Lonchura striata: one gene and its partner. The protein of the gene in region 2 purifies or fractionates together with the protein of the main gene of each other region. This does not show direct contact. Links are inferred from orthologs where the notes say so. Each region holds a gene or a part of one and is shown on either strand. Other genes may lie near its edges. The genes, in order: MYBL2 and forkhead box protein M1.

The links.
Region 1: the proteins of forkhead box protein M1 (region 2) and MYBL2 purify together in Homo sapiens (affinity purification with western blotting; 3 studies listed by BioGRID and IntAct, with this or other methods). This does not show direct contact. The link is inferred for Lonchura striata from reciprocal best matches to the Homo sapiens genes FOXM1 and MYBL2.

What each region holds. Positions count from the first base shown.
Region 1 is NC_134619.1:11,069,682-11,077,905, reverse strand, and holds the start of MYBL2 (myb-related protein B), read right to left. Parts: upstream 3,389-8,224; 5' UTR 3,282-3,388; intron 2,869-3,281; coding exon of another isoform or gene 2,119-2,868; intron 1-2,118. Other genes in the region: uncharacterized protein LOC144247204, read left to right, coding at 2,119-2,868; IFT52 (intraflagellar transport protein 52 homolog), read right to left, coding at 5,806-5,853, 6,429-6,574, 7,065-7,173. UniProt on the Homo sapiens protein: Transcription factor involved in the regulation of cell survival, proliferation, and differentiation. Transactivates the expression of the CLU gene.
Region 2 is NC_134604.1:31,065,600-31,074,135, forward strand, and holds the start of forkhead box protein M1, read left to right. Parts: upstream 1-4,928; 5' UTR 4,929-4,943; coding exon 4,944-5,066; intron 5,067-5,477; coding exon 5,478-5,606; intron 5,607-6,192; coding exon 6,193-6,237; intron 6,238-7,164; coding exon 7,165-7,231; intron 7,232-7,655; coding exon 7,656-7,837; intron 7,838-8,536. Other genes in the region: forkhead box protein M1-like, read left to right, coding at 2,284-2,822, 3,281-3,427, 3,579-3,718, 4,485-4,687. UniProt on the Homo sapiens protein: Transcription factor regulating the expression of cell cycle genes essential for DNA replication and mitosis. Plays a role in the control of cell proliferation. Also plays a role in DNA break repair, participating in the DNA damage checkpoint response.

The DNA of each region.
Region 1 (8,224 bases), on a different chromosome or scaffold from region 2:
CTCAGACACCGCATCCATCCTCACACCGACCTGAGGCATCCTCACACCGAGCTGAGACACCACATCCATCCTCACACCGATCCGGGGCACACCGCATTCACCCTCACACCTACCTGAGACACTGCATACACCGAGCTGGGACATCCTCACACCGAGCTCAGACACCGCATTCACCCTCACACCGACCTGAGACACTGTATACACCGAGCTCAGACACCGCTTCCACCCTCACACCGAGCTGACACATCGCACCCACCCCTACACGGAGCCGGGACATCCAACCCATCCCCACACCGATCGGGGACACTGACCCGGGACACCTGCATCCAGACTCCTGTATACCTCGGCACATCCTGCGGGATCCCCGCATCCAGCCCCAGGACCTCTGCACCGAACTGGGACTGCCGAGACTCCCCACATCTAACACAGCACCCGATCCAGGACCCCGCACATCCACCTCTGCACCGACCCTGCACTGATCCAAGTCCCACCGCATCCAGCCCCGCATTGATGCAAGCTCCCACCAGGAACCTCCTCATCCACCCACACACCGACCTGGGCCCCCCACGACCCTCCCCATCCGGCCCAGCACCGACCCCAAGATCCCTCTGCATCCACCCCTGTACCAACCCCAAAGCATGGGGATCCCCCACACTGACCCAGGACTCTCCCTCACCCTGCCCTACACTGACCCATGTTTACTCATTTCTATCCTCAGCACCTCCACGTCCCCATGGACTCAGGACTCCCGGGACCCCTTCATCCACCTGAAACCACTGGGACCCCTTCCCCCCCACACCAGCCCAGGATACCCTCCATTCACACCCCCCAACCTTGGACCCCCATTTCTACCCTCAGGCCCTCTCACACTAACCTGAGCCTCCCAAATGTAGCAGCCTCAGGCACAGGGCAGGAACATCACACCTTAAAGAATCACAGAATATTCCAGGCTGGAAGGGACCCCCAAAGATCATCAAAGTCCAACTTATGGCCCTGTCCAGGACAGCTACAACAGTTCAACCCTGTGCCTGAGAGCATTACTCAAATATTCCAACACGTACTGTCTATTTCATCAATGAAAAGTCTGTACTTGTGGATATTCCTAATCAACAGCTCACAAAACACAAGGCAACACTTAAAAGAAAGTAAAGCCTTATTAAGGTTCTTTGACAGGACAAATATAACCCATCCCTCACAGATCTCAGAGTACCTCCATCAGTCAGCCATGGCCCACCTTCACTACCCCTGTGCTTAAAAAGAGGCAAACAGAAGCCCCTCCCTCTCCCAAACTAGCTTAATTAGGAAATCAGCCTGTTAATTGATTACCAGAACTATAAAACTGCTCTAAGTAACACTGGCAGAAAAGGCTTGGGAACCTCAAAGGGTCTTCACAGGAGCTGAAGGTACTATTTATTGTTTTCTTATTCTTTCATTTCTTATATGCTAAGATAAGATGGTTTTAGTCTCTTAAATAATACTTTCCTTCTAGATTGACCATACAGTCCCTTTGCAGTAAATTCAGACGCTATTTATGACTGTTTAGCATGTATTCAGAGTAAAGCTGGGTTGGGAATATAGCTATCCCCTTCCCTGGCCTGCCCTAGTCTCTCAGGAAAGATCTGGAAGTCAGCTCCTGGCTGAGCTGGAGGTGAGAGTTATTGTGTACAGCACTAAAAGTAAGATGAGACCTGCCCTTCAACTTTTCCCATCCTAGCCAGAGCCTGGTTTTGGTGCCTCCTCAGAGGGATTCAATTCTAGCTGGGGTGAGTGGTCCTCTGACTGCAGGAGTGAGGCTAAAATGCTTCTATCCCCTGTACAAAGTTAAGACTAGTGATAATACAGGCTGAGGTCAAATAAATACAGCTTCAGGGAGATTCTGCTATGACCTCTGAGCTACTAACAGGCTGTAGTGGAGTTGTTTTACTCTAAAAGAGAGAGCCAGGCTGGATGCCCCTGCATGTCCTGAAACCTGCTCAAGGTCCTGCAACAGTGAGATGGGATTTTGCCAAGAGTGGTCCTGCTACTGTAAGTCTGTAAACCATTAGTGAATAGTAACAGGTTTATCCTGACAGGCTCATCCTTATCTCTCTAAGCCAGAGAGCTGCTGGATTCTGCACCATGCTGTCCACCCAGAAGCACAGCACCAGCATTGTGACCAGAAAGGAAATCCTGGAAAACGGGTTCTTGGCCAGCTCCTCCAGCCAGAGCTATTCTCCTGTTGTGAGCTATTACAAGGACTCTAGCAGTGCTTCCAAACATGAAACCTGGGAGCTTCCCATGGACTTGGACAGCACAGCAAGTGGCAGTTCCCTGTGTGTTGTCAAGCAGGCAGAGTCTCTGACCAGCTGTGTGAAGCCGGAGCTGCACAGCTTGACCCAGGGCATCTCTGACCTCAGTCTTGTCTGCTTCTGCAAGGCCCACCATGGCCAGGCCACCTGTGAGCTGTCTGGTTTGCCCTGTGAGCACCCTAGCAGAGATAGCTGCCTGATGAATGTGGGATCACAGAATACTTCGACACCTTGCAATAAAGACAAGCACTTCAAACCCCTGGAGAGCCTTCTCTTCAAGAGCTCTGAGCTGGCTGGTGACATCTCAGCCCTTGGGAAAGTGCCAGCACCCAGGTGGGACATCTCGGCAATAAAATCCTTTATGGATACCAGTACATCCCTCGATGTCAGCACAGAGGAGTTACGTTTACTGGGATGCTCCAAACCAGACACATCATCCCTGGAGACCCCTGTGGTGATTCCTCTGGCTTGGCCCAGTGCCTTCAAGAAGCACCCCACACTGATCCACAGGTCTGCCACCCAGGAGACCCAGCTGAGTGACCCTGACGCTGTCCCTGTGTTTCTGCAGCAGGCTCTGTGATGCTGCTGCCCTGCCTCCAGCTGGAGCTGCTGGTGCCTGCCCCCTCCCCTCCTGCGAGGAGCAGGGATCCACGCTGCAGCACAGAAGATGGAGCCAGCGGCTTGAGTGGTGATGGCAGCAGCTGGTGACGAGCTAAATCTGCTCACCTGGGGTGGCCGAGTCGGCACTGGTGGTGGGGGATGTTTGAGCTGGTGATGGCACCTCCGAGAGCCGCAGCATTGCTGGCTCCTCCTCCTCCCCGATCGCTCTTTTGTATTAGCACAATAAAGATATAAATGTCTCTCTGCTGGTGGTCCCTGACTCTCGCTGCCCTCCCGGCCTGAAGCTGAGCCCCCTGAACGCCCAGAGCCGGCCTCCGTGCAGCCCCCTCCGAGCTGGGGGTGCCCGGACCCCCGCCCGCCCGCCCCCGTTACCTGGCCGAGGGGTCGGGGCGGGTCCCGGCGGAGAAGGGGCAGCGGGACGCGGCCGCAGCCGCGGGGCCATGGCTGCGGGGCCGGCGCTGCCCGCCGGGAGCGCGGGCGGAGGCGCGCCCGGGGCCGCGGATCCCTCTCCTGGCGCGCCGGGAAAGCACAGCCCGGCAGCGGGGAGCGCCCCGGGCACAGCCCGCCTGCCTCATGCGGGGTGCCGCTGCTCGTCCTGGCCGCGGCAAGCCGCCACCGCGCAGGGACCATTTCCTCTGTCACATCCAAACCCTGCTCCGAGGCAAGGAAAGGAGCCTAGGCCATCGCACCCACCCCATTAGATTTTTCACGCTCTCCTGCTAGATCGCACCCCACCCATATGCAATCCTGATTTTCCTCTCCTGTCTCTGCTTACAGCAAAGAAAGGGAGGAAGAACTTGTTAAAACAGCTTTTCAGGACATTTGCTCTATAACCAGTGTACTGTTCCCCTCTTCTTTTAGGGGCATATTAGGGGATAATGAGTCATGTTGCATGAGAGGACAGAGAAAAAAAGGGAAAGCAGCAAGAGCTGCTTGAAACCAACTTTTGAAAATCACAGCAGAAATTTGATTTATATATTAACTCCCTCACTAGCTACCTGCCCAACGTGTTCCCCCTGGCCTCACCTCACCTCTTGAAAGCACTCACCTACTTCTACTCCTTGGAAATTCTGTCAGTCAGCCATAAAATTTATATGCATCATACTCTCATGACTAAAGTGTTTCTAGTAACAAAGTCAGTTTAAATACTTCCAGAGGGCCAAAGGGACAGCTTTGAAAGAGAGATGTGAGCTACATGTATTCCACACTAGTAAGAAAAACATCCATTCAGTAAAAAAATGTGTTCTTCAGCTGTCAGAGGCCTGAGAGACACCCAGAAAACAGGGAGCTGCTTGTATCCCCGGGCTGCTCACATGGCTTTTTTTAAACCATGTTACATCAGAAACAGGTGACAAAACAACTTGGAAACAGAAAGTTATTTACAGTTTGAAGTATAAACACCCCAGAAGAGTACAAACTGGAGCTATAATTAGCAACAGGAGCACTCAGGGGGTTGGTTCAGCTGCACCCTGTGCTGGCTGACTGATTGCTATTGCTACTGCACAGGAGAAGAGATTAAGGTTGTTGTGTAAATCTGGAGCTGGAATGTACAAAGTGCTCTGGGTGACAAACACAACCACGGCCTTAAAGGAAAACAGAAGAAGAAATGAAAAATTTCCAACATGCTGCTGTGAAAGGGAACGGCTGCAGTGGAGAAAGAGATACAACCACTTCTGCTAACATTAGCACATCTCAACTGGGCAGGAACTTGGCAGGGGCTTTGGGGCACCTCCTTTAGAAAAACCTGTGCCAAAATGCTATGTGAAGCATGAAATGTAAAACAAAAAGGTATTTTGGAGGGATAAAAAGATGAACAGGTTTTTTTGCAAAAAGCAGTTCTGATTTTAAAAACCATGGCAGAGCAAGGTAAAACACAGAAGTCATTGAAGTCCTGAGTGGGGGAAGAATTTAACAATCTGAGTGTCAGTCTGACAGCCAAAAAAGGCTTTATAATGCAATTTCACCACATTAACATAAAAACAAGTCCTTGCAATAGAGGTGTGGTGGTGATGATGTTGACAAAAATCTTTTCTTCTCACCACTGATCTCCTTGGCTCTATTTTTGCTGTGCATTGAGCTTCAACATTTCACGGAAAATTAATTTAACCTGGATTTCCACTCCTGCGTATTACTGAACTCACTACCTCAGGGAGTGGACTAGATATCAAATAAATGGAAGTAAAAATATCCATTAATTTCTGTGCAGTATCAGTGTCTTAATAATGATCCACTCAATCTTAAGGTTTGCATCCATGTGCTGTCCTCTCTTTTTAAAATTCTGTAATTCCAGTCTGATATGAGGCAGCAATCTGCAACAATGTCATTATTGCTTAATTTCAAATCTGCCCCTCCCTTGGAAGAAATGTTTTCTTTCTACAGTAACAAACTCACCTCTCCTTAGTTCTCTTTGGCAGAGAGACAAAATGAGGCTGCCTCAGGGTGATACATGTATTTTCAGCAGCTCCTGCTAAAATTATGGCTCTATTTTTTTGTCCTAAGTTAACAAACCAAAATAACAACCCTTCTCACAGTGCAATTAAGGATTTCATGTACAACAGGAGAACCAACAGGTAAGGCAGACTTAACTACAAGAAAATAAATGCTGGAGCCAGAAAGGACCCAAAACACATTTTCTTGGTATATTATTTTTTTAATATATTAAAAAATTACAGTTTCAATAAAGAAGTAGAAAAATAAGAAATTCTTTGGAAAGTGCTTGTGAAATACAAGCAGTTCCCCAGAAGGCATTAATTATCTGAACTACTACACATAAATGATCCAAGCATCCAGTGAACTACTGAGACAGTCCCAATCAATACACTGAGAAGAGAGACTTTAAAAATGGAAAAATATACTTTCCCTAAAAGGTCTATCTCAAACTGGGGAAAGCCAGCTCTCAGGTACTGTTCTGGAATCCAGCTTCACTTTGGTCAGTATCGTGTTCCTTAAGTAAGGGAAGAGGAAGGAAAAAAAAGGAAGAAAAAAGAGTTTTAACAACAGGGTAGAACTGTAAGATTTTTGGCTTAACTAGATTATGTGAAACAGACAATTCTTGTTAGCACAAACTGTTGCTCTGCCAATATGCTCCAAACACACTTTGAAACGTTAAATTTGCTATGAAGAATTCTTTCAGCACAGCTGCATTTCAGTGCAGCTCCTGAAGAACAATGCTGGTCACCTCTGCACAGCAGCACTGGCCAGAGCAGTGAACACTCCTGAGGGCTCCCTGCTCTCACTCAGGCACCACTAATGAACCAGATTTAGCTGCAATTACAAACTACACTTGCATGTACTAATTCCCCAATTAAAATAAATGAGAGACTTAATAAATTGAGCAGTACACATTTTATGGAGATTAAGAGTCATAAGTACTCTGGATCACACTTGACTGGTCTCATTTATAGCACAGCTAATGTCTCACATCACCTCTTGCCTGTGACAACTGTAACTGCTACAATGATACACCACCCTTACTGCTGCTACTACCAACTACTCACTTGTAATTGCTATTAAAAATACCTGATTCAGTTTCTTAAACTCAACCACTTGGAAGAAGATGTGCTCCAGGATATATTTGGCATCTTGCCTGTCCTTTGGGAGTTCACTGGTCACTCCCAGGATATCACCACATTTCCGCACGTAGAACTCCAGGTCATCATCAGTGCCTAAACAAGCACCCAGGGAAGAAGGCAGGTGAGTCTCACACATCTGGAGCAGCTGGCCAGAAACCTGCTCTGAATCTCCTTTTGCTGCTGGCATCCTGGGAGGCTCAGTCCCATCACTAAGCTCAGTGGACTAGCCATAACGTATTCCTGCAGCCAGTACCTGCTCATCTTCTTTAGGTGTTTATAATAATCTTAACATTTTAACTTAAAAGCATAAACAAGATGTGAAATTTATCAGCAAGAGTGCACAAAGCAATGCACAATATAGGAAACGGGAAGAAACACGATAAAATGTCATGCAACAGACAAAACATAATGTCATGGTACATAAAGTCATGCTATTAATTTCCAAAGCCTTTCAATTTCTTAGATCAGGATAAGAGCAGTAGATTTCCCAAATGAGGTGCATGCTTTAACATTCAATATTAGAAATTTCCTCTAAAAAAACTGGACTTTTATTTTAAACGTGCAAACAATCTTCTCCACTTACATTTGTTTGTAATCTCTGCAAGACGTGCTTTCTCTGAGGAAAAAGTTTCATCCAAGTCAAACAGTTCCAGAGCAGGAGGAGGCAATTCTTTGAAAGCAGGTGGAAAGACCTTGGAAAGAAAACGCAGCATGGTTGACTGCCACACATTTTTCTTTACAGATCTCTAAGACAACAGTTTTGAACTTATATTGGACTTGAAGAAGCCCTTTTAAAAAGTCAAAAGCAACTCCAAAGCCACTGAACCAAGGGGCAGCATTTGAAAATTCCATTTTTATGCTGTAAAAATAACTGAACATTCCAAAAGAATTTAGTCACATGTATGCCAGAATTATCACCCAGCATAACAACTAGACATTCTTATTTGCAGTTTCAGTTTTGCTCCATGAGACCCAGGTGATAGCTGAGAGCTGAGGAACTAAATTGGCCCTAATAGCTCACCCTGAAAACATACTGACATCAATTTTGGTCAGAGTATTTTCTGTTTCATGCAGGCACCATTTATGTCACAAGCTGGACTTGGGTTTTTAAAAAGCAGTGAAGGAGACACCACTTTCAGTTGCACTCCTGAAGCTCTAAAGGATATCAGAAATGCTTTCTCAGTGGCCAGGGTAAAGAAGGATGGAACAATGATGGCAAAACTCAGATACCAAGATTCTTGCCTTCTGAAATGAGTTTGACACCCTCATAGTTTGTGTTGTTGCTGTCTGCCCAAACATTGCTGGTTAAAGTTTGATCAGCTTCTGATGTAAAAGACCAATGTTCTGCTTTCTGCTTCCCCTGAGGATCTGGGAGATGGAGGCAGAGCAGGACAGACTGGCTCCTCCCTGGCACAAGCAGTGCAGTACCTTCACCACCACAGCTTTCTGAAATAGCACATCCTGTTTTCATTGGGAAGGCTGAGCCAGCACCTCACAGGACTGGGAGCAGCCACTCAATCAAAGGTTCACCACACAAGGATTCTGTTTTGGTACCACACACTACAGTGTGAAGTTCTTTTAATAAATTTGAAATGTAAATTAGTGCTCTTTCCTAAAAGACGGTCCCTAAAGTGTAGTCAACTCCCAAGTGATTAGTTATTACTACAGCATTTCTCACTGCTTCTTTTACAGAACCATGGAAATGACACACAGAGGTTTGGCATGAAACAAATGAAATAGAGA
Region 2 (8,536 bases):
CCCACCTGGCCACAGCCTCCTTTCAAGCCCTTGTAGAGAGCGCTAAGGTCCCCCCTGAGCCTCCTTTTCTGCAGGCTGAACACCCCCAGCTCCCTCAGCCACTCCTCGTGGGACTTGTGCTCCAGACCAGCTCTGCTGTCCTTCTCGGGTCCCACTCCCGCACCTCAGTGTCCTGCCTGAACCGGGCGCTGCACTCCGAGTGCCCCAGCAGTGCCGAGGAGAGAGGAACGGTCCCTGTCCCGGCCCTGCTGGCCGCGCTGTTGCTGACACAGGCCAGGTGCCACTGGCCCTCTTGGCCACCTGGGCACAACTATGTTCACCTACCTGACTTACCATAGATCAGCACAGACAAGAAAACGTGACAACATTTCTGAGAAACGCATGAGACTGACACAGCCTGACGGCTTACCTAAGCGGCACCGTGCCCGAGGGTCCTGCGGGCCCCTCTAGCCCGGCGCGGCCGTGACACACACGTTAAACGGCAAAACCCCGCAGCTCTTCACCAGGCGCCAGCGCGCCGCCGGCGGCGCGGGCGCACGGCGGGGCTCCCGGCCGCGGGCAGCACGGCTGAAGGAAGCTGGCGGCACTGCCGCGGCCGGGCGGGAGCGGCCGTCCCGGTACAAGCGCGGCACACCGCGGTGCCGGCGCGACGCGGGCCCGGTCCCGGTCCCGCCGCACATCCGCGCCCGCCGCCGCCGCCGCCCATTGGCCCGGGCCGGGCCCGCCCCCGCCGCCGCTCACTGGCGCAGGCCGGCACGTGACCGGGCCAGCGCCGGGCGCCAAATTCAAACCGGGCCGCTCCGAGAGCGCCGGGGCCGCCGCCCGCCCCGGCCGCGCCCCGGCCGCAGCTGGTGAGTCGCCGCCGGCGCCCCGGCTGGGGTCGGCGCCCCTCGGACGGCCGCGGTAAGGCCGCCGCGCGGCCGGGACAGGGCAGCGCCCGGGCCCGGCCCGGGGCGGAAGGCCCGGGGAGCAGCGAACCCGCCGGCCAGGGCGGCAGCGCGGGGCTGGGGTGGGTGACAGAGGAGCTGGGAGCGCCCTGGCCGTGCCCTGCCTGCCCCCGCGGGGCCGCGCCTGCACAGCCCTGCTCCCGGGCCTGGACGGGGCAGCAGATCCAGGCCTTGGGAAGGGACGCGCTCCCGTTCCTGCTCGCAGGAACGCTGCCTGTCGGAGGCTGGCTCAGGGTTCTGCTTCTGGCGCTGTCTCTCCTTAAGGGGGAGGAGCAGATCTCCAAGGGCCATGCTTGTGCCGGGTGCCAGAACCCGCGTGGAATGATCGCTGGGCTGTCTGCTCACTGTGCATAGGGCGTTAGCTCAGCTTGTTATCCGCTGGACTCTGCTTTCTATCAATGTAGGGGATTCTTACTGAGAATTTTCTCGTTTACTAGCTGACCCCGTCAAATCTAGTAATGCAAAAGGCCTCTCTTTTTTGGTATCTGTTTCTATTCTGCTTGCCATCTCTAATGACAAACAATAACTACAATTTGCATATTGTTCTGCTTTAGTTTTCAGAAAGGCACAGGTTCCACCAAATTCCTGATGGCATTATTAGCAATATTCTCATAGCATCTTACCCTGGAAGCAGTATCTCTGAATTTCATTTCCTCTGCTTCCAGCTTTATAGTCTAAACTACCTATTGTCCAAAAGTTTGACATCTAAATTGTATGCTACCCAATGATGAATTTATGTGATTCTTAACAAATACAAAAGGAATTAGAAGCACATTTACTTGGTGTCTAGCTTAAAGCACCTTACTTCTGCTGCATTTATTATGTGCTTTTGTAGTGTTCAGGGTAATCTCTGCTTCCCAGATCTTAAACCATCTGTAAATTCCCTTTTCACACAGGTTATATAATCTGCTGCTTAGAGCAATCAGCTATAAGAATCAGCACTGCTGTTTCTATATTCCGCCTCCCCTGCAGCTTGCTGGCTGACATGGTCAAATTGCCCTACAGCTAAGTCTTTTTGTAAAGCACATACACACTTTGCTCATTATTATGTACTTTATGATGCACATTATCTACTCTGCAACTCTCTCATCCTGCTTACACAAAGTGTGGATTAGGGAGGTACAGTATGATTTTTCAGTAGCCTTGTCTGCCTTATTAAATGCTTCTAATTTTAATTTTCCTTTTGCATTTCTAGCTTTGTAGCAACTGCAACTGCTGAGAATGTGTGCTCTGTGGGAGGTCTTGAGATGATTTGCTGCACCCTTTATGTTGTACCTTTTGTTTTGCAGGATTTGTTTCTCTCCCTTTCAATGGAGAGTGACAGTATAGATCAATAATGAGGACCAGCCCTCGCAGGCCCTTAATTCTCAAAAGACGAAAACTGACCCTCCCACAGAATGGTGAATCCAGTACTTCAGCAAGAGATGAGAAGAGAGGTCAGGATGAAAAGGCTCCTAAGCAGGAGCACAGGCAGGAAGACCAACACAACAGACAACCCAGAGACAAAAGGGACGGTGGCCTGCAGAAATTCCCAGCAGGAATAAAGATAATTGACCATCCTACAATGCCCAACACACAGGTGGTGGCCATCCCTACAAATGCTGATATCCAGAGCATTATAGAGGCATTGACAGCAAAAGGAAAAGAATGTGGCAACAATGGACCAAATAAGTTCATTCTCATTAGCAGTGGGGGCACATCCCGTTCAGCAGGTCCAGCACCATCGCAGCATCTCCCATCAGAGAAGAAAGCCAGTGCAGGCAACAGGGCTGCAGTTATTCAAGAAAGAGAGAAGAATGTTGCACAGACATCTGGTCTTGCAGGTAGTACAGAGCTCTGGCATTCAGGAGTTGGTCCTGTGGTTGGACAGGGACAGTATGTAGCCTTTACCTGTTTGTTTTTTTTTTGTCCTGACAGACAAAGAGATGTGAAATGGGCCAAGGAGTGCAGCACTTGCATCTTGGTTTGCAGTAATTATTAATATTTTGTTAATTACAAAATACCTATGGATTGGATTCTAATAATGTACCTAGCTTTGCATATGTAGTGAAATCTGAAGGATTATAGTGGACATATTTTTTGGTGGAAGACATCTGTGCTTCTGATTTAAGTTTTGTGCTAAATCTTTCTATTTCTTGAAGTACTTGATCAACATTGTCCTGTTTTGGTTGACAATAGCCTGGTTTGAGTGTTTATTTTTAGAGCCTGCAGCTCTTTTCAGAAATTGGGCAACTACAGGAATCAAAATCAGGAATTCAAGATGAATTCCTTCCACAATACTAGTGTTGCAATACCATCTTTTAGAAGTGTGACTGGTGCCTTCCTTTTGACAGCTGTGATGAAGGAGTAGCAGGGTTACTTGTGAGAAAGCAGAGTTATGGCGAGGGGAAGGCTGTGTCTGTAGCCCACCTGGGCTTCAGTAAAGCCTTTCACACTGTCTCCTACAGCATTTTTCTGGAAAAGCTGGCAGCCATGGCTTGGTCAGGTTCACTCTTGACTGGATTAAAACTGGCTGGATGGCTGGGCCCAGAGAGTGGTGCTGAACAGTGCTGCATCCAGCTGGTGACCAGTCACTGGTAGGGTTCCCCAGGGCTCAGAGTTGGGCCAGTCCTGCTTTTCTCTGTGTATCAGTGATCTGGATGAGGGGATCAAGAGCATCCTCAGCAAACTCACAGATGACATCAAGTTGGGTGGGAGTGTGGATCTGCTGGAGGGCAGGAGGGCTCTGGACTGGCTGGATCCATGGGTCAAGGCCAATTGCATGATGTTCAGTAAAAGCAGGTACCAGGCCCTGCAGTTGTGTTGCAAAAGCACCAGGCAGTGCTAGAAGCTGGGGGAAGAGTGTCTGGAAAACTGCCTGGCAGGAAAAGAGCCAGGACTACTGGTCAACAGCAGCCAGGAGCCAGTGTGTGCCCAGATGGCCAAGAAGACCAATGACATCCTAGCCTGTACCAGCAATACTGTGTTCAGCAGGACCAGGGGAGAGATTGTCCAGTACTCAGCACTGGTGAGGCTGCATCTTGAGTTCTTTTTTCAGTTTAGGGTCACTCATGACGGGAAAGACATTGAGGTTCTGGAGCATGTCCAGAGAAGGACAACATGGTGAAGGGTCTGGAGCACAGGTCTGATGAGGAAGAGCTGAGGGAGCTGAGGCTGTTCAGCCTGGAGGCTCAGGGGGACCTTGTCACTCTCTACAACTGCCTGAAAGGGGGTTGTAGAGCAGTGGGGGTTGCCTTCTTCTAGGCAACAAATGACAGGACAAAAGAGCATAGCCTCAAGCTGTGCCAAGGAAAGTTCAGATAGGACATAATGAAGAACCTCTTCCCTAAAAGGGTTGTCAAGCATTGGAACAGACTGTCCAGGGAGGTTTGGAGTCACCATCCCTAGAGGTATCCAAGAAACAACTGGATGCTGCAGTCAGTGCCATGGTCTCATTGATAAGAGGGTGTTTGGTCACAGGTTGGACTCAATGGTCTTGGAGGACTCTTTTAGCCTAATTTATTCTGTGATTATTATGTGGGCTTATTATCCCAACAGGCAGTGGAGAGACAATGAGTTCTGTGTTGGACAACAGTCTCACCAACATCCAGTGGCTGGGGAAGATGAGATCTGATGGGCTAAATCCCTCTTCTGTGAAGGAAGACACAGAGAAAGAGAATCAGATACCTCTGCAGGAAAGAGTCAAGGCAAGTAGGAGAATACAAGAGTGTGCTAAAACTTTTGATAAGGAGGTAATCTAGGTGGATCAGAATACTTGCAAGAATTAGGTATTGCTATCTCTAAGTAACCTGATTTTAACCTTTACTGATATGAATAGCAGAACCCAGAGGATCCAGGGATGTTCCATGGGCCTTCTTGTCAGCTTCGCGAACATTCATTCAGACTGAATCTTCTTTCTTTCAGACTGAAGAGGAAGCTGCTGCTGCTGCTATTCCTACTGCTGCTGAGTCCTCCTCATGTCAGGATTCGGTGTCAGAGCGACCTCCTTACTCCTACATGGCCATGATCCAATTTGCCATCAACAGCACGGAGAGGAAGCGCATGACCCTGAAGGACATCTATACCTGGATTGAGGATCATTTCCCTTATTTTAAACATGTAGCTAAGCCAGGTTGGAAGGTAACCAGCAGCCCTCAAGTTGCTGTGGGTGATGTTACATGCCTTCTGGATCAAAATGAAAAGTTATTCCCCAGCCTGCAAATCAAGATGGAAGCTCATTTAAACGTTCCACCCCAAATACACTCTCACTCCAGATGTTCACTGTACCACTTCTTGTATCCCTTGCCTCATCCTACTTAAACAAGATGATGGGATGTTTGAGCACTGGAGTGAGAACTGGGATCTCAAGAGTACATAGAATAAGAGACTGATGACAGGGTTGGCTGGGTACGATGTGAACATGAAAGTTTGGTGTTGTTTGCACTTTGGAATGTAATCCCTCTGCTAGGACAGCTATGTTTGAGGTGGGCCTTGCTGTGCTGATAACAAAACTGCTGGTTTTCAACCTCCCATTCACTCCTTTCTCCTCAGAACTCCATCCGGCACAACCTGTCCCTTCATGATATGTTTGTCCGTGAGACATCTGCCAATGGTAAAATCTCCTTCTGGACTATTCACCCTGATGCAAACCGTTGCCTAACATTGGACCAGGTATTTAAGGTGAGTTGCCTCATGCAAAGAAAATAGGACAGGCTATCCAGTTTCTAAATGCCACACTAGCCTGATGCACCTTATTTTAACTGTAAGATCAAACTGCGTTGATTCAGCCTCTTTGTAGAAGCTGGATTCAGTCATTTCACTTGACAAATAGACAAGCGCTGCATTTGAAAGAAAAGATGCTATGGCTGTGCTTTTGATCTGGAGCTTCTGTAAGATGTGTTTATTCTTCATGTGCTCTGCCAAATATAATAGGTTGTTCACCTTCTTTCCATGGGCCTGATATAAATTCCTAATAAGAAGATTTACACTGAGGCCAACCAGGTGTTCCTATGCTGTTTGATAAGTCAGTCATAGGATGGAATTGTGCTAGCCCAAACAGGTATTTTAGGAAGATTTTGTTCGGGAAATAGAGCTTGAGAGTCTGGTATAGGTGTGTTTAGAAAACTGTTGTGGTTTCTGTTGTGGGTGGGTGGACTTCTTTGTTTGCTCCAATTGTACAAGTTTTAAATGTCCCATTTGTCTCCCTCTTTGGCTGATGACTTAATCTTAAATTTTTTTCTTGCTCAATGCCTTCTGCCACCGGCAGCCGCTGGACTTGGGGTCACCAACATCGCCTGAGTACTCTGAATCAGTAAGAATTACCATCTGGCTCGGGGCATTGTCTTCTTCCAATGGCATCTTCCATTCTCTTCTTGCCACTCACTGAAGGAAAGGACAACAGGCTTGGGGAGGGGGATTGGTTCACTGCTGCATCTACTCATACAGCTCTGTGCTGTACCCTTTGTGGGGAGAGGGGTCTAGCCAAAGGTTGACAGTCTATCAAAATGGTAAATCTGGACAGCTTAGAGCAACTTGGAAGTCTACTGCTGAAGTAGGCTGCAATGGACACCGATAGGCTTCAGAGAACAAGCCCAAACAGATTTCTGGTAAAATCATCTCCATGGCAACAGTTCCAATGTATTCTGGAGCTCAGATCCAGAGAGAATAGGATCTCTCTGTGGGTTTTCATTTTGTAACCCGCTGAACTGTGTGTGACTCTTAGAAGGATGAGCCTGTTTGCTATTGCTGTTGCATTCAGCAGTTTTAACAGTGACTGATTTGCAAACATCCAGTCAAACACTTTTCTGTCACAGCTACAACCTTGGCCTTCTTTCCATCTGCTCCAAAATCTGATCCCATTGCTGCCTCTGCTATTCCATTGAACACCTATCTGTATCCAATAGACAATAAAGCCATCCTATTCATTGTTTCTCAGGCACACAGTGTGCCAAAACCAGCTCACTTCTGCAGTAGAGTCTGCAGCTGGAGCAGCTCTGTCATGTCATCTCTTTTCCTACACAGCTTTTGGTGGGCAGCTGGCTTTGGGATGGCTGCAAACCAGCAAGTGGCACAGACCTAGAGCCAGCCTGAATGTTGGGTGCTAACAGCTGCTCTCTTTGCATTAGTCCAGCACAGACCTCTGGTTTCACAATTCTCAGTGCGGCAGCAGAATAAATGCGGATTCTTTTCTTTTAATCTCTCTTTTTCTCCTTCTCCTCTTATCTCACAATGACTGCAGCAACAAAAGAGTAATCTTCCAGATCCTCTGAAGAACATGGGAAGCAAAACTGAACCCCAGAATTCACGTAAGTGTCCACATCACTCTAGGCCAAAGCAAATCAATCCAATAAACCTGGGGCATTCTCATAGATTTCTTTAGGAGTGGAGTGTGTTATCCCTGTTTGCCAGCTTTTATGCTTCTTACTGCCAGGTTTGAAATGGAAAGCAGTAGTGTTTTGTCTGAGACGATGTGATGGTGAGATCCTGGGCAATGGGCACTCAAATGGAATGAGAGCCCAAACCTGAGGGGTAGGATCTGCATGAAATGTTATTTTCTCGTTCATGAGGCTTCTGGCTTGGTATTTGTATCCTTAAAGTTAGCAGAGAAGGCAAGTGATCTGATAAAATGTTTCTTTTGGGGTGTCTAGAAGGACTTTCTCTAAGCTGCCTGGGTTTCAAGAGGTAGCAGTGGAGAACAGGCAAAAGTGAGTCCCTTCTTTTCCCTTCCAGGCCGAAAGATGAAGCCTTTGCTTCCTCGTGTCAACTCCTACCTGGTTCCAATCCAGTTCCCTTTGAGTCAGCCTCTTGTCTTGCAGCCTTCTATGAAGGTTCCCCTGTCCACGGCACAGGGAGCATCTTTTAACAGCACAGAGACTTTGCAGAGCAATAAGCGTGTGTGCATTGCCCCAAAGGTTGGTTTCTTTTTTTCCAAGGAGTTTTGAGGAGGTTAGTGTGGGTTTTTTCCTGTTTTTTTCTTCTTTATTTTTTATCTTTTTTTATAAGTGAGGTGAGGAGGGGGCTAGGTAGGGTGTGGGGATTTTTTTAAGGAGGGGAGTGTTCGCTTGGATTTTTTGTTGTTTGGTTTTTTTTATATCTCTTGCCCTCAATGAACCTTTTCTTCATATTGTTCCTTTATCTTTACTTAGGTGCTCTAAACTCTAAGCTCCTATAAAGGAACTAGTTAGTGATAATCCTTGCTATCCTTTACTGTCTCTAGGCTAACTACTACCTCCTAGTTTATTTGCTCTAAGGATGTTTCCATAATTCACTAGAGGAAGGGGCCTTATGGCTTGGTCAAGACAATTTTTCTTTACTGCTGGGATGTGAAGAAAGAAGAATGGGAGGAATGGCTTTGTTCTATCCTAAAACATCCATATTTTTGGTAGCTCTGTAGACAAACAACAATTAGGAACTTCTAAAAGGGTGTATATTTCATGTAGTCTCTTCCCAGAGTATTTCCATATCTGATGTTTGCTAATACTGTGAGGTTCACAGTTATTCTGGGCTCAAGAAAAACAGCTATTAAACAGATCTTTTTCTTGGCATCTCACTGACTGCTCTTGTATGTGTAGACATTGTAAAGCTTTAGCTTCCTCCATCCTGTCTATAAC